Linked DNA regions of Sus scrofa. The protein of the gene in region 1 interacts with the protein of each later gene in a pairwise test. Links are inferred from orthologs where the notes say so. Each region holds a gene or a part of one and is shown in the gene's direction. Other genes may lie near its edges.

Region 1 (5,517 bases):
ACTTACATTATAAATGTCTTTTTATTCACTGGGAAACAGCCGGCCCTGGGTACATCTTGGAAAGCAACTCCGCCGGCCCTCGTCCAGTCCTGGGGAAGAAAGCAGCTCCAGCCCCGCGCCGGGCGGGCGCCCCCTGGTGGCCGGACGGGCTGGGAGCGCAGCGGCGCCTGCGCTCCTCCGAGGCTCGAAAGACTCCAGTGTTGGGAGAGCGGCCCGGGCTGGGGAGCCCGGGTCGGGTCGTCCAGTGTCTGCAGCCCCCTCGGGCGCCGCTGAGCAGGCGGATGTAGCCCTGTCCACCCTCGCCGGAGGGGTGGCGTGGGGCGGGGGGGGGGGGACGTAGGCCAGCGCCCGGAAATAACGCGTGCCACTTCCCTTGCCACCTCTGGTTCCAAACCCCGGTTGACGAGGGAGAGCGCTGGAGAAACATGGAGAAGGCAGGCCGAGAGCATAGCGCGGCCGGGAACGCGCCGGGACGTTCTAGAACGAGAGCCTGGGAGAAGGCAGCGAGTGCCAGGGTAGCTGTAAACGGATGTGGGATGGAGCCGGACCCGGGGAATCTAGCACCACGTTTTCCTAGCAGTGTTTCAAGAACTCTAACCCTCGCAGGTGCTCTTCGGGAGCTTTGACCGTACTTCCCTGTAAAGTAAAACCTTTCTGTAAATCATTAGAATCCAGTATTAGGAGTGGGTCGGGGAGGGAGGGGTGTTAACTCCCCACTGATGCTCCCACGTGCAACGTTTCTTAGTAAATGAACGGCAGTAGTAGGAGTGGGTCGAGGAGGGGGGGTGTTAACTCCCCACTGGTGCTCCCACGTGCAACCTTTCTTAGTAAATGAACGGCAGTCGGCACAGTGCTGATGTATGCATTTTCTCTCTTTGTATTATAATCTATTTTTTAAGTAGGAAAGTACAGACCACCTTCAAAAAGGACAATAGGATCTTCTTCGAGAAATGATCTACGTGACAAGGAGAGTTGGCAATGAAGGATGACTCTTCTTGGTTAAGTGGAGGAGGAAAGATGCAGTAAAACAGCGGGCCCCCCTCCCATTTCAGAAGCCAGCGATGTCGCCCTTAGTAATCGCGTCTGTGTGTATGACTGAATAAACTAATTGTAAAGAGGCCTAGATTGTAGCATTTCCTTCGGCTATAGCGTCAAACAAAACAGTAAGGAAGAGCTTCAAAAAAGCCTCCATCCGTAGCTCGCTCCCTCTTCAAAAATAAAGTCTAATGTTAAACGAAAAACTACAAATCGACGTAATCAAAAGCAAATCCCGGCAAGAGCAGAAGGTACTTGAAACACGAATCTGCATTCCGTTCCTCCCGTACGCGGCTCTGAGGTGGGGGAGGCGGTTTGTGCTGGTGCCTGGTGTATAATCGGGTTAATCCAGTAGACAAAGAATAAACCAATAGCCCTCCCACCTCACTTCCCTCTCCCCTTCCCCTCCCCCTTCTTCTCTCCCCGTCGCCCCCTCGAGGGGGAACAGAAAAGGGGAGAGGTGGGCTTGCAATGGATTCCGCATAAAGTCGCAAAACCTGCAACTTGCTGTTTTTAATGCTAACGCTGCCTGGCCCGGATTCGTTTTTAAGGTTCATTCCCTTTTCCTAGTGGCGGGGAGAAAGTTCCCCAAATCAGCGGGAGCCACGGCTCGTCCTCGTGGCCTCTGGGGAAACCTTAAGGTCAGTGTTTCCTTGAAACTAGATAAACTGACCCCGCCGTGCCCAGCCCGGCCCCGCGGGCACCCCGCGTGACGGCGCCGGGGCGGTAGGACCGGCCTGGGGACGCGCGGGGCGGCGTGGTTGCCCTTTTGAATGCCTCCAGCGGCTCGGAGCGCTGGCGGGCGCTGGAGTGTGAGTGAATGTAGCCCCGCGGAGCCAATGAGCTGGGACCGGATGCGATATATCCTCTGGGACAACAACTGCTCTGTTCCGCCTCGGATCCACATGACGCCATTTACTGCTGCCGCGGCCGCCGCAGAGCTCCCTGCCTCCTCCGGAAAGGCTAGGGCGCAGGCCAACAACGAGCCCCCCCGGTCAGGCCCCAGACCCTCCGCCTCCTCCTCCTCCTCCTTCTCCTCCGCCTCCTTCGCACCCACCACCCCGCCTCGGCCTCGCCGCCGCGCCTCCACAACGCCCAGTCTGCACTGCCGAGAGCTGCGCGCCGCAGCGCGAGCGGAGGAGAGGGGCCGGCGGAGCGCGCAGCGCCCAGGCCCCCGCGCCCGCCCGGCCCGGCCCGCCGCCCCGCGTCCCCGCGCCGCCTCCGCTCCGACGCGGACGCGGCTGCAGGACTTGACCATCTGGCTTTAGGTTCTCTGTAAGGCCTCTTTTCTCATTCGTTCATCTGCCAGGAAAAGACAAGCCGTTGGCGCTTCGGCCTCCAGTTCATTGAGAAAAAAAGAGGAAATACTCCGCGTGCGCTTCCAGAAGGGGGGTCGCCTCCAGCCCCGAACCCCGCAGTGTTCATCGGCTGGGGACTTGGCTCCGGATTTCCTCTCCTTTTCTTGTCCCGCCGGTTGCTCGGAAGTTGGACGGAAGCAGAGTTTGGAAGGAAAGGGGAAAAAGTTTGCATCGGGGCTGGATTTATTTGCACATCGCAGGAAGAAGAGAATCCAACGGAGAGGGGTTGGTGCAAAGCCGAGATCACGGTGAGGCGCGTTTGGCTGGCTCTTCCCCTCCTGGCGCCGTGGCCGGCGCATTGTGGGCAACATGGAGTAGGTGCAGCCGGACCAGGAGTGGGGTCTGTCTCTCCTCCGGCCTCCCTTTTTCTAACTCCACAGGTTCCCCGCAGGGATCCCCGGAGCTGCCCGCTGATCTGGCTCGCCTGGGGCTCGGCCTGCCCCGGCGGGGGCTGCAGTGCGCGGCTGGCACGGGGTCCCTGGACCCACCGCCCTAAGCGCCCGCGCCCTGGGGGGGTTGGGGTGGCCGACTGCTCGCCGGGAGTCGGCTCCGGGCGGTGCACTGGCCGCGAATTGGGCGCTGAGAGCGGGAGGGAGAGGGAAAGCACTTTGTGTTTTCCAGGTCGCTGTTGCAGGCGCCCGCATTTCTAACCTGTTCCTCTTCGGGGAAAGCGAGTCCTGGGAGAGGCTGTCTCAGGGCAGGGACGCCGGCGGGACCGAGGGCTCGCCTCACGGGGGCAGCGAGACCCCGCGGGTGAAAAAGGGACAGGGTGCCGGGTTGGGAGGGGGTTCTCTGCGCGGTGTGGACAGAGGCGAGCAGAGGGCGGGTGGGAGCGTCGCCCAGCGTGGCGCCGCGTCTCTGCGGTTCGGAAGTGCAGCTCTCTCTTTTTTCCGTTCGCCGTGGTCTGCCTGGGTCACGCTTTTTTTATTTTTGGAAGATTGGGCTGACCCAGCAGAGGAAGAAAGTCCTAAAACAGTCGCGAGCGTTTTCCATTCCCTGAAAAGAGGTATTAAAAGAGGCTAGCTATTTTTTTTCCCCTTTCCTTTGATGAGTTGATCAACTTTGTTGTTGCTGCTATTTTTTAATTTGGAATCTTGTGCGTTTTTACAAAGCGGTCACTGTGTCGGCTCGCCCCACCCTTGTGCTGAAGTCTTTTCTCCCTAATCCTAAATCTAATCACACACTGTTCTTAATGGGGGTTTCAAAGCTCTTTCAAAAGCGGGGGGCGGTGAGGGAGGCGGGGGTCTGTGAAGGAGGCCAGGGATCAGGAAAATCAGTTTGGTAAATATCCCCAAAGATGCTACTTTCCCCCTCAAACAAATCTGCGCGGAAAGTTTCCAGCCTAGGGATCTGGGTCTTGCATGCCCGGGGGTGGGGGGGTGCAGTGGGTTCCTGGAAAATGTCTTCTTTTTTAAAGCAATTTTTCTTTGACTCTAAGAAACATATTCATATGTGACTATGTGTGTATATTTTTAATACATGGGTATTTGCAGATTGCAGGCACTGCCCCTTCGGTCAGCGCAGGTAGAGTCGCCCGTGGTGCTAGGATTAGACCTCGGTATCCTGGCTGTGTGTCCAAGGCACGGCTTTCTACCTCGCAGTGCGGGTCTGGAAACCGGTGCCCGAAGGTCGAGGGCTTTGGAGGGAACGTCCTGCCATGGGCTGCGTGACCTCCGCCGGAGGGTGGAGCGGCTCCCACATAAAGCTGCCAGGCAGTTCTCTGGGGTGGGGGAGATTCTGGCAGCGGAGGAAAGGAGGGGGAAGCGTGCCCTAGCATTTCAGGGCACTCCCCTTCCGAGGCGCGGGGGGGTGGGGTGGGCAGCTTAGCCCCGGGGCTCCGAATGTGACCCACCTGCTGGGGACGGTGTTGGGGCGCAGATAGAGCCTGTAGCCGGAGTAAAAGCAAAGAGCAACGCTGTCTTGTCTGCCTTTCTGTTGGAACTGAGATCCAGTTGCCAGCTTTTTTTCCAAAGTGGAAGGTGTGTGTCACCTGCCTGTGTCTCTTTTTCTAAAAAGCAGACACTGGGTGAAAGTCCACTTTTGCAGACTTGGCAAAGAGGATGGTAGTTTTGAAATTTATAGAGGGAGGGTCATTTAAGGGGTTACTTGTCAGGATGATAGATCTGAGACGTGACATTTGAGTTTTTAGAACACTTCTTGTTATCACCAATCGGTTTATGTTCTCACTAGGTTTTTGGAAATGGGCAGAGCAGTTGAGATTTGGACATAATTCATATCTAAAACAGGGAGAACAGTCTTTTAGTTACATAATTTAAGATGTTCTCCTAGGCTATCTATCAGGTTGTAAAATATGTGAGTCACAAGTTGTTGGGAAGTTGAAAATAAGTTCCTGTCTTTTTGTTGCTCATGATGTAAATTTGCTTTATTGTGTTCCTGGCACTTAGCAGGATTTGAATTGATAGGTTTTTAGTTCTAAACTTTGTGTTACTCTATAGTTAATGATAGTGCTTGATTATTGTATAAAATGTGTAACTATCCCTTGGAGGGGTATTTACTTTTTTGCATATCGTAGTCATCCTATGGCATTTTATAAAGTTAGATAAACCGTAGTTCTAGGTGTTTGATGTAAAAGAACCAAGAATTTCTTGGCTGTGTTTATTGCTGCTTAAGGCAGAAGTGACCATGTTAAATGTAAGCTTATTTCAGAATTTGAAAAGGTGTTATTCAGCTTTTGAAAATGTCAGTATCAATGTTGTATTCCAACATTACTTTGCCACAATTTTTCCATGGAACCTGAACTGAGTAAGTTGCTTATATGATTGAAACAAAGGTCACTGCTTTGTGTCACTGCATATCATTAGAATAAAGAATTGTCAGCACCTGGCCATATTTTTTCTTTTGGGTTCAGATGGCGATCCCAATACCTGCCCTAGACAGCTGCTCCATTCCAATGCTGTTTCTCTAGGGGAAGTGGGGAGTGAAGAGTTAAGTCAGGTGGGTGGAGAGTGGGAAGTATCCCGGAGTGTAAACCCTCTCTTTCCTCTTGGCTCCCACAGGAATTCAGATGTGTTCTAAGCCTGCTGGAGTGACCACACTTCCAAGACCTGATGGAGGCCAGAGCTCAGAGTGGCAGCGGGTCGCAGCCCTTGCTGCAGGCACCCCG
Region 2 (5,478 bases), on another chromosome or scaffold:
GCCCTGACGTGGACGGCAGCAGCCGTGAGCACCTGTTTTGGAGAAGGGATGAGTAGGGTCCAATCTGTGAAATGGACGCTGTCGTCTCAAGAACTGCCCCAGCCCTCAGCCATCTGGGGGCTCCGCTGGGGGCCAGGCAGACGCTCCAGGAGATGCTGGTGGCTGCTCCTGCCCAGTGACCAGTGTGGACTTCCCTGGGGTCCTCTTTGGGTGACTATCAGAATGGCAGCCGAAGGTATAGGGAGGTGACCCTAAGAGGGGTGCTCCTGGGAGCAGGGTCAGGAGAGTCGGCGCCTTGGAGTAGCGGGTGCCAGAGGGAGCGTCACAGATCCCGGACGGGTCGGCGTGGCCTCCAGGGTGGTAGCTGGGAGACTGTCCAGACGCCTCATCACAAGGGCCAGCGGGGTCAGGCCAGCCCCCTGACCATCACGCTCTGTGCTGTTAGATGGTGGCCGACATGCGGGAGAAGCGCTACGTGCAGGAGGGCATTGGCAGCAGCTACCTGTTCCGGGTGGATCATGACACCATCATCGATGCCACGAAGTGTGGCAACCTGGCGAGGTTCATCAACCACTGCTGCACGGTGCGCGGGGGGCCGGGCCGGGCCGGGGTGGGGCGGGGGCCAGGGGCACAGCCGCAGCTCACCCCATCCTTGTCCTGCAGCCCAACTGCTATGCCAAGGTGATCACCATCGAGTCGCAGAAGAAGATCGTGATCTACTCCAAGCAGCCCATCGGTGTGGACGAGGAGATCACCTACGACTACAAGTTCCCGCTGGAGGACAACAAGATCCCGTGTCTGTGCGGCACCGAGAGCTGCCGCGGCTCCCTCAACTGAGGTGGGGCAGGACTGGTGCCCTCACCCCTATTTATTCCCCTTGGTGCCCTGAGCTCCCAGCCCACCCAGCCTTAGTGGGCTCAGCAGGGCCCACGTGCCCCATCTCCGAATGTGGGGTTGGGGGCCCCCCGAGCCCAGGAGGGAGCCTCAGTCCCTTGAGGCGACTTCTGCTTCCCCTCTTGCCCCTGCCCACCCATCCCCTGAATTTTTTTTCTTTGCGGAGAAGAAGCTGTAAATGTTTTGTAGCTGCCAGCAGCTGTTTCCTGTGGAAACCTGGGGTGCCGGCCTGTACAGATCCTGTTCTTGGGGGCTGCACAGCCCCCTTGCTTTGTGTTCATGGGGCTTCCCCTTTGTGCCCTGCGTGCACCCCTCCCCAGTTTAGGGGTCTCTAGGGGCAGTGGCCATGTTCTCCCCCTGGGGGGGGGCCCTGCGCCCCCAGTCCTGGGGACTCCGTGCCTGGAACCCTGCCTCATCTTCTGTTCCTGCCAGACCCTGTGGGTCACCCTCCCAGCCTGGTGTCTGGAAGCTCCGGCTTTGCCAGGCCGGGATGGTGGGGGGCGGGCCCTTCCTGTTGGGCTGGACTGTACATATGTTAATAGCGCAAACCCAACGCCACATTTTTATAATTGTGATTAAACTTTATTGTACAAAAGTGCTTGGTCAGTATCTTTGGGAAAGAGTAGGGTGGGATGGGGGCTGAGGACAGAGGGTGGGGCAAGTGAAGAGAGGGGGAAACAGGTGGCCTGAAGCTTGGGGTGGGGAGAGGGCCTTTCGGGCAAGAGCCAGGACCTGCAGACTCAGCCACCATCACTCTGGGCCACCTGCTAGGCTGGAACAGCCATCCAGAAATCCCCCGCCAAGGCCGGCCAGGGCAGGGCCAAGGTCAGGCCTCCCTTCCCTTCCCAGAACCACAGCTGCTGCTGGGCTTCTGGCCTCCTGGGAAATCCAGCAGGAGGGAAAGACTGACATCATGCCCTGGGAGCGAGGTCACCCTGCCTGCTCCCTTTACCTCGCCCACCCAGCAGGTTCCAGCTTCCCCATTCCCTTTCCTCAAGTTCTCTGCTGGAAGCAGATGCCAGTGCAGCGTGGAGTGGCCACCAGAGGGTGCCCTGTGGCAAGAGTAAGGTGGGCGGAGAGGTGGAGGCTGGGCTGGTCTCTGTTCCTGGAATGGGCCAGGAGGGAGGAGGAGCAAGCGGAAGGGGACTGTGTCACGGGCCCGCTGGCCTGGGGGACGAAGACGGCCTCCCGGTGGCCAGTTTGGGTGTCCTGGGACCTTGGCAGCAGGTAGGCAGCAGTGATGCCAGGGCCTGGGGTCCCTTCCCCCCATCCCGGCCCTTCCCACCTTCCTCTCCCTGCCGTCCCGGCTCCCTGCCAACTGCCTTTCCTTTTCTGTCTCGGGACCTCCTCCTCCGCCTCAAACCCTGAGCCCTCCCTGCACGCCAAGCCTTCCCCTCATCTTGGTAAGTGCGGCTGGCAGGGTTGGGACAGGTAACCTGGCTGCGGCTCCCACGGCTGCAGCCTCTGGAAACGGCTCTGGGCCCCGGGTCACTGTTGCTGTCCACTAAGCCAGAGGCCTCTTCTAGGAGTAACAGGTGGGCTGTAGGTGCCGGGGCAGGTGGCAGCAGGCAACCCAGGTGAGCCAGGGTGTCTTTCCCCAGCAGGGCATGGCAGATTCTGCTCAGGCCCAGAAGCTGGTGTACCTGGTCACAGGTGGCTGTGGCTTCCTGGGGGAACATGTGGTCCGCATGCTGCTGCAGCAGGAACCCCGGCTCTGTGAGCTGCGCGTCTTCGACCTACACCTGGGCCCCTGGCTGGAGGAACTGGAGACAGGTGACTGTGGTGGGGACAGAGTGGGGACGGGGGGAGAGGATGTGGACTTCCTTCCTTGGGGTGGAAAAGATGATGTCTCCTATGTTTTCCAGTGTGGACGGATGGGATGAATGAGTCACATTGGGAATATGTGGCTTCCAAGGGTGTGGGCCAAACCCAGCAGCTGGCCTGTGGCCTCAGCTCTGACATTGCCTCTGGCTGCTCCTACCCATCCCCAGGGCCCGTGCAGGTGACTGCCATCCAGGGGGACGTGACCCAGGCCCATGAGGTGGCAGCGGCTGTGGCCGGAGCCCACGTGGTCATCCACACAGCTGGGCTGGTGGATGTGTTCGGGAGAGCCAGTCCGGAGACCATCCATGAGGTCAACGTGCAGGGTGAGCGGCTCTCCACCTACTCTGATCACACACGCAATCCTCCCTGGCGCATGGCCTGAACTTGGCTGTTTGTTCCCTGCCCCCTCTTTGACCTTGACCTCTGTAATTCTCCTGTGACAATCTGTCCTGTGGACACTCCTGCCCATCATGGCGGGCTGGCCCTCACTGACCTGCCGTGGTTCGCCCTGGGCCTGGAGCTGGAAGACTCGGGTCCTCCTCCAGCTTTGGGATGGGGAGCGGAAAGATGCAGAGGGGGAGGAAGCTTTGGTTTAGACGTCCCCCCCTACCCCAGGCACACAGAATGTGATCGAGGCTTGTGTGCAGAATGGAACACGCTTCCTGGTCTACACAAGCAGCATGGAAGTTGTGGGGCCCAACATCAAGGGCCAGCCCTTCTACAGGTGAGCTGAGGTTCCCCTCAGTCCTTCAAGGCCCCCCTCTCTCCCCAGCATTAAGAATTTTCCCTCTCCCCCCACTAGGGGCAATGAGAATACCCCATACGAGGCAGCACACAGACATCCGTATCCTCGCAGCAAGGCCCTGGCTGAGCGGCTGGTCCTCGAAGCCAACGGAAGGAAGGTAAGACAGCGGATGAGATGTGGGAGCCAGAGCGGGGGTGGAAAGAGCTGCCGGGCAGAGGCAGAGCCAGGGCCTGCAGGCGCCTTTGCATCCTGCCCTGGGCACCTCCCCTCCATCTCCAGCTTTTGGAGGCCAGGGCAGAGGGCAGGCCCTAGGGGCGGGGTGTCCTAGGTCTTAGCAGTGCCTGCCTTTTGCCCCCAGGTCCGCGGGGGGCTGCCCCTAGTGACGTGTGCCCTGCGTCCCACTGGCATCTATGGTGAAGGCCACCAGATCATGAAGGACTTCTACCACCAGGGCCTGCGCCTGGGGGGTCGGCTCTTACGGGCCATCCCGGCCTCTGTGGAGCATGGCCGGGTCTACGTGGGTGAGGCTGGGCTAGGCGGCGGGGGGAGGCTAACAGGGCTCTGGGATCCACGTGGTTCTGGGGTCGGGGATGGTTGTGTACTCTGGCTAAGAGAGGACGGTCTATACCTGGGCCAGAGCAGACAAGGGCCATGCAAGGCGAGAAGGACGGCCTCAAAACGTGTCACAGGCTGAGTGAGGAAAGGGTTGGAGTTATGGGAGCAGCATCGTTCCAGGACCATCAGCAGAAAAAATAGCCTCCATTCAGGCTGGCCCTCAAGGGCAAACGGCTACAGGGCCTGGAGGGAAGCAGCCTTCAGCACAGCTGTTGCTATGAGGGCAGCATCCACAAGGGCCCAAAGAGGGGGCAGCTTGGCCAGCACTGGCCGGGGAGAGACCAGCATGGACCTGGTCACAAGGGCACTGAGGGCCACTTCCCCCCCTTCTCCCCTCGGCCCTGTCCCCGCAGGTAACGTGGCCTGGATGCACGTGCTGGTGGCCCGGGAGCTAGAGCACCGAGCGCCACTGATGGGTGGCCAGGTGTACTTCTGCTATGACAACTCACCCTACAAGAGCTACGAGGACTTCAACATGGAGTTCTTGGGCCCCTGCGGACTGCGGCTGGTGGGCAGCCGCCCGCTGCTGCCTTACTGGCTGTTGCTGTTTCTGGCCACCCTCAATGCCCTGCTGCAGTGGCTGCTGCGGCCGCTGCTGCTCTATGCGCCCCTGCTCAACCCCTACACGCTGGCCGTGGCCAACACCACCTTCACTGTCAGCACAGACAAGGCTCTACGCCACTTTGGCTATGAGCCCCTGTTCTCCTGGGAGGAGAGCCGGGCCCGCACTATCCGCTGGGTGCAGGCCGGGGAAGACTCCACCCAATGACAGTAGGGCTGGGGCCCGGAGCCTGGCGTGGCCCAGCCATCCGGGTCCAGGGCCCTCAGATCCTGGGTGGGGACGCATTCTAGAGCTGCAGGAGGGGCCTGGTGCCAGACTGCCCATCCTAGAGCTCTCATTTTAATCCACAAGCCTTGGGTCTGTGTCCTGATGTCTAGTTCTCAGGCAGGTGTGTCTTCTTCACTCTCAACCCAGGCCTGATGTCTCACTTTTCGATTTTTTTTTTTTTTTTCTTCTTTTTTGGCTGCCCAGCAGCATGCGGATTTCCCAGGCCAGAGATCAGATCCAAGCCGCAGTCGTGACCTAAGCCACAGCTGCAGCAATGCCAGATCGGATCCCTAACCCACTGTGCCTGGCTGGGGATCGAACCTGTATCCCAGCGCTCCCAAGAGGGTGCCAATCCTGTTGCACCACAGCGGGAGCTCCCGGTTTCTGACTTTTCAAGCAGGAAGTGGGTAGACGTTCCACAGGCCTCGTGCTGATGTCCAGGCGTGATCCTCAGGTTTGGATTCAGAGTGAAGATACTTTCTGGCTCCTCCCACCACCTTAGTTCTGCCTTGGGGGTTACAGACCCATCATTTTAAACCATTTATTACCTTTATGCATTTCTTTTTTAATT
Region 3 (5,696 bases), on another chromosome or scaffold:
CACCATTTGCAGAAAATATCATTCCTTCCCCAGTGAATTCCTTTGGCCCCTCTGTTGGGCATCAGTTGGCCGCATGGGGGGGGTGTCTTTTTCACCCTCCACCACCACACTACGGCCACCTGATGTTTAAATGTATCTGAAAAATCCAAAGGCCTTAGAGGGATGAGAGAATCTTAAAGTGGAAGACAAATCAGAGGGCTTAGCACGCTAGTCATTATAACAGCATCATGTGGACACAGAAATGGACCAATCAAAGAAGGCAGCATAATAGAGTCAGAGACAGACTGATACATATACAGTCAGCGGATGTGTAATACACTCTACTGCCATCCACGGGGTAAAGGACGGTCTTTTCAATGAGCAAAGGTACAGAGAAATAAACGATCTTTTACCCCTACCTCCCGCCATAGAAAGAACTCATTCCAATGGGCCGTATTGCTCAACACAAACAGTAAATACGGTAAAACTCCAGAGACAGCCATCTCCATCAAAGTGGAATTAGCAGTGGTGTCTTTTTTTGTCTTTTCCCTTTTGATTTATGGCAGGATATTGAATAGAGTTCCCTGGACTATACAATAGGACCTGTTATTTTTCCATTCCCTGCAGAATAGCCTGCGGCTGCTAATCCCAAACTCCCAGTCTCACCCTCCCCTGCCTCCTCCCCCCACCTTGGTGGCCACAAGCCTGTTCTCTGCATCTGTGGGTCTAACAGTGATTTCTTACACAGGATGTCGAAAGTTCTAACCATAAAAAAAAAGATAAATTCATTTTTATTCAAATTAAGCACTTTTGTTTCACTCAAAGTCATCACTAAGAGATTTAAAAAGCAAACCACAGCCTGTAAGAAGTTATTACCTTGAAAGGAACCCAACAAAAGACTCCCCTCCAGAGTTGCCAGAAATGGATAAGAAAACCCATACAAACCATCTAAAAATGACAGATGGCCTGAGCAGACCCTTCCCCAAGGAGGATATTCAAGGGCCGGAGCCCGACTCGTGGTGCTCCGTGCCACTGCCATTCGGGGAAATGCAAATTAGAGCCACAATGACACACCTCGCCACACCCTCAGAAGGGCTGAAACTCAGAAGCCAGGGTGGGCCAGGAGGCAGAACAGCAGGAGCCCCATCCGCTGCTGGGACAACGGCTTTGCAGAGTCACCCGGCAGTTGCTCATGAAGCGGGCACGTGTCCTAGGACACAGCTACCCACTCCTCAATGGGTCCCCAGCAGAAAGGCACACCTCAGGCCCCCAGGCATAAACAAGAGTGTCTCAGCATCCAAACAACTGACAACCCCAGAAGTGCACATCCTCAGAGAAGCGGAGAAATAAGATGGGGTACACGTATCTGATGGAATAACACACATCCATGCAGTGAACCACCACTGCGGGCCGTTATGTGGGTAAATTCCACCCACATAGTTTTGGGCAGAAGGAACCAGACCTGGGAGAGTGCTTGTTCTATGGTTCTGTTTATGTCAGTTTCAACGTGGGGACAAAATTAACACACAAGTAAACCCAGCAGCTACTTTCAGGGGAAGGAGGAGACAGCTAGAAGCCTGCGCAGGCGGCGGGGATCCCGGGGGCCGGGGGCTTCTGAGGATGGTGGTGTTCTGGGGTACAGCTTCTCAGCCTTGGCCCTGCTGACACCTTGGGATGGACCCTTCTTCACTGTCATGAGCCCTGCAGCCTTCCTGGCCTCAACCTGATGGCGAGCGCCCCCTCCATCCATTGTGACACCAAATATGTCTCCAGACAGAGCCAGTGGTCCCTGGGGAAAGGGGCTAAAATTCCCCCGGTGGAAGACCTGCTTTATTGAAGGATGAGGTGTCCGTGCCTGCTTCGTGCAAATGCCCTGAGCCGTGCATGTAGGATTCGTCAGCTTTTCTGCACACACATCCAACTTTAAAAGTATTCGAAATGTTTAAAAAGTCAATGAATAGCTGAAAGGGTCCCGCATTTCAGAGCTAGCAGGGACAGTAGATACAGCGGAGTCTAATGTCCCATGCAGGTTAAGGAGGCCAAGATCTAGGTGCCTCGGGGTTCAGAACCCCACCCCCGCTTCCCCTCCCCCTTGTCCCCCCCACCCCCTCTCAGGCCAACTGGCTCCCAAGGGCAGCCCAAGTCTCAGCGGCGGCTGATCCCAGGCGGGGAGTCCGACGGACCCCAAAGCCCAATGTGGAAGGGGCGCCACACCCACACTCTGCAAAGAGAGTTCTGCAAACGGGTATCTCGTGCAAACAGGATATTAGCTTTTGTCAGACAGATCACAAAGGGCTTGAGGTTTCTCTTCTCAGCCTCAGGCTCCCTGCCTCTCCCTCTCCGGCTTTATCTGCTTCGCTCAGTCTGCGGGCAGGAAGAGATGGCAGCGGGGGAGACACAGCTCTACGCCAAGGTTACCAGCAAGCTCAAGGGCCGCAGCTCCTCCGCGCTCCTGGAGCCCCTCCTGGACATGGGCTTCCCGGCCCACACCGCGTGAGTACCCCCCGCCTGGCCAGGGTCCCTGACCCCCCGCCGACCCCTCTACGGCTGCAAAATTGCAGGTGGCTCAGAGCACTTACTTCCTGTGCGAGGGGTGAACCGCACAGGGCCAGAGACCTGCTCCAAGTGAGGCCCGTTCTGCTTTTATGAAGGACACGACCTTCGCTTTTTAAAGACAAACTCTTCTGGCTGGTGATGGGGGCCCCGTGACATCTGGGAAATGGGAGCCAGGGTGTGGGGGGACTTGGGGCCTGGCTGCCCCCCTCGGTGGTCAGCTCAGCGAGCCTGAGATGGCCTTGCAGACTCGAATTCGAAAGCCCCAAAGTCGGGTGGGCCTCTTGAAATCCGCCAGAATGTGCTTCTCTCGGTGCGAAGGGAGAGCCCTTGTCTTTGAGGGGAAGCTCCCGGATGTCTGATGATGTAAAAAAGGGTCAAGGACCTCCCCGAGCAGGTGGACACGACCCACTTATCCAAGGAGAAGGTGCACCCAGAGACCCCTCAACCTCACGAGTTACCCTTCGGAGACAGAGGGGCATCCCCAAACTATGAGCTTTCAGACCAACACCCGGTCACAGCTTCCACGGGGAACCAGTTCCTTAGATCAGGTCCTTTTCACATGCTCATTCGTCTGGGAACTACGTCGGAGGCCTCCTGATGTGACCTTGCACTTGGGAGGGGGGCAAACGCGCCTTAAACAGGTTAACGAACCCCTGTGACCCAGCTGCTGGAGTGCCTGAGGCTGGACCCCTTTGCTCCCTAACTCGCACTGGGGCTCTGTCCTCACGTTCTGCTCACACTGAGTGGGGGGCTGTGAGCTCGAAAGGAAACCAGGCATGGGCAGGGTGCGGAGGGGGACCCCGAGGCTGGAGGGGGCAGGGGGTGCAAAAGGGGGGCTGAAACCCCCTCTCCTCACCTCTAGAGCCCACACTTTGCCATGTGGCCAAAGCTGCCGTTGAAAGCACACCCCAAGCCCCTTCCAATTTAAACATCAGCCGTGTGCTGGGTGGAGAAGCATGTTTTAAATGTGACCCTTAGGCTGGAGCACCAGGTAAAGCTTCCAATGAGCTCTCCAGGGGCCTCCCCCTTCAGGCATCCAGCAAAGTGGGTTCCTGATCAGCTCCAGCAATTTCCAGGCTGAATGCCTCCACCAAACTCCACTGGGCCCAATCTAGTCCCCTTCGGTTAAGCTCCATCCAATGTGCACGTGTCCTGGTTCAATGACAAGTAAGACTCGGGCCCGGGGAGCTGGCAGACGGATCGGAGGGCGGTCCATTGAGATGGGGGCCTGGCGACCTCACGGGCAGCGAGGAGACACAGAGGGGCTGCACGGCCCCCCTACCTGGGCATTTGGGCTGGGCTTTCTGGAAGAGGGACACCAGAGAGCCACCTCCCTCAGGGTGTGTTGATGCCAGACGGCTTCTTGGCCAGTAGGCATGTGTGCCAGCCAGGGACACGGCCCTGATGGCTGCCTAAGGTTGCCTAAGGCAGGTTCTAATGTATTCCCCACGCGAACTCAAGGGTCCGAGAGGAGGGCCACCTGGCTGTGGGGAGGGGTTGGGTCAGGGAGGTGGGATTCAGGCATGGGTGGACTCAGGACATGAGCCCTTGCTCTCTGTTCCATGGACGAAGGTGGGGGCCAGGGAAGCAGGGGGGCAGGGGCCAGATGTGAGCGTCCACATTTCCAAACTCACAGCGATGCCACCAGAGGCCAGAGGCCTGGGTGCTGCTCCCCGAGGAGAGGTCTCGCCCACCAGCCCCCAGCGGGGATCGGGGGGCTGAAGGTCCCATGTCCTGCACAGACACCCCGTTGCTCTGACCCTCCCCCCAGGAGCAAAAGGCAGGTTCTGAGGGCTCCTTGCGTCCTGCCCCCACAGGCTCAAGGCACTGGCAGCTACGGGGAGGAAGACGGTGGAGGAGGCATCAGACTGGTGAGTGGGGCACCGGCAGGGCGGTGAGGTCTCTGCGCAGTGGACCCTCTGGGCGGCCGGGGCAGAGCGGAAGGAGGAAAGAACCCGTGTTTGAATGGACAGCAAAAGAGAGAGAATGTCTGAAGCCTTCCGTAACCGAATGCGCTGGCGGGGGGCGGGGGGGGGGGGTTGCTGACCAAATGAGGAAGAGCCATGTCGCTGATACGATGACCCCGAGTCACCACTATCTCTGCCTCTGATGGGGACGGGCCTTGCGGGGGCCGGGCGTATGTCCCTTAAGTCCCCACATGTGGCACCTTGAGGGAGCCTGCTGCTTCGGGCAGGGGAGCCCTAGGCTAGGGTCCAAGTGGCTCTGCCACCGCCAGGTCTGCGACCCTGCCAGCTGCCCCCTGCTACCAGCCTGGGATTTCTGCCCTGGGCCTCCAAGAGGGCACCCCCTCCCTGAAACCCAGCCCTGCCCGCGTGGGCCGTGACGCCACTGTCCTGCCCCAAGGGGAAGTCCCCTCACGCTCTAACCCAGAAGAGCTGTGACGAAAAACACGCAAAAAACCCAGGTCCCGCCAGGCTGGGGTCCCCGCCCCAGAGCAGGATGGTCGTCACTGGCACTGGGTCCCTGTGTGCCCAGCGAGTCTTCAGTGGGGACTCCCACCCCCTCCAGAAACTCTAGGCCAAGGGCAAACATTCAACCCTGGTACGGACAAGGGGGGGCACCCAGGACCATCCAGCCTAGGCGAGCTCCAAGGTCAGTTGCCAAACTTGAACTAAAAACCAAACCCAGGATTTCCGTTGCTGTTCTGGGGGTGAAGAACCCAACTAGCATCCATGAGGACGTGGGTTCCATCCCTGGCCTTGCTCAGTGGGTTAAGGATCTGGCATTGCTGTGAGCTGTGGTGTAGGTTACAGATGCGGCTCAGAACCCATGGCTGTGGCTGTGGGGTAGGCCAGAAGCTGCAGCTCCGATTCGACCCCTAGCCTGGGAACTTCCCCATGTGCCATGGGTACAGCCCTAAAAAAACCCACAGTGCTTCCAGGGCTGGGGTTGGTCCTGGTAGCAGTGAGTCAGCCAGAAAGCCCAGCAGCCCTGCCAGGAACAGGGAGAGAGTGGGTGCCCTGGACTCTGCTAGAGCGGACCCAACCCCACTCCTGAGCAGGGAGTGCAGATTCGGATGCTGTTAACCACAAGGGCAGCCTCAAGGTGAAGATGGGGGGCTCTTACTTTCCCAGTCGCCATCTGGGGGTGACTATCCACCCAGCAAATGTGTGCCCCGCTGCCCAGCGGTTTGCATCCAA

Evidence for each region.
Region 2: the proteins of SPRY2 (region 1) and HSD3B7 interact in binary tests that used the Homo sapiens proteins (3 or more experiments, as listed by UniProt). The two-hybrid records come from large-scale screens. The link is inferred for Sus scrofa from reciprocal best matches to the Homo sapiens genes SPRY2 and HSD3B7.
Region 3: the proteins of SPRY2 (region 1) and UBASH3A interact in binary tests that used the Homo sapiens proteins (3 or more experiments, as listed by UniProt). The two-hybrid records come from large-scale screens. The link is inferred for Sus scrofa from reciprocal best matches to the Homo sapiens genes SPRY2 and UBASH3A.

The regions. Positions count from the first base shown.
Region 1 is NC_010453.5:52,155,385-52,160,901, reverse strand, and holds the start of SPRY2 (protein sprouty homolog 2), read left to right. Parts: upstream 1-2,135; 5' UTR 2,136-2,641; intron 2,642-5,410; 5' UTR 5,411-5,461; coding exon 5,462-5,517.
Region 2 is NC_010445.4:17,459,779-17,465,256, reverse strand, and holds the start of HSD3B7 (3 beta-hydroxysteroid dehydrogenase type 7), read left to right. Parts: upstream 1-1,875; 5' UTR 1,876-2,004; coding exon 2,005-2,121; intron 2,122-2,153; exon of another isoform or gene 2,154-2,297; intron 2,298-2,495; coding exon 2,496-2,667; intron 2,668-2,885; coding exon 2,886-3,041; intron 3,042-3,333; coding exon 3,334-3,442; intron 3,443-3,520; coding exon 3,521-3,620; intron 3,621-3,821; coding exon 3,822-3,984; intron 3,985-4,431; coding exon 4,432-4,847; 3' UTR 4,848-5,478. UniProt on the Homo sapiens protein: The 3-beta-HSD enzymatic system plays a crucial role in the biosynthesis of all classes of hormonal steroids. HSD VII is active against four 7-alpha-hydroxylated sterols. Does not metabolize several different C(19/21) steroids as substrates.
Region 3 is NC_010455.5:205,742,302-205,747,997, forward strand, and holds the start of UBASH3A (ubiquitin-associated and SH3 domain-containing protein A), read left to right. Parts: upstream 1-2,093; 5' UTR 2,094-2,173; coding exon 2,174-2,472; intron 2,473-4,352; coding exon 4,353-4,406; intron 4,407-5,696. UniProt on the Homo sapiens protein: Interferes with CBL-mediated down-regulation and degradation of receptor-type tyrosine kinases. Promotes accumulation of activated target receptors, such as T-cell receptors, EGFR and PDGFRB, on the cell surface.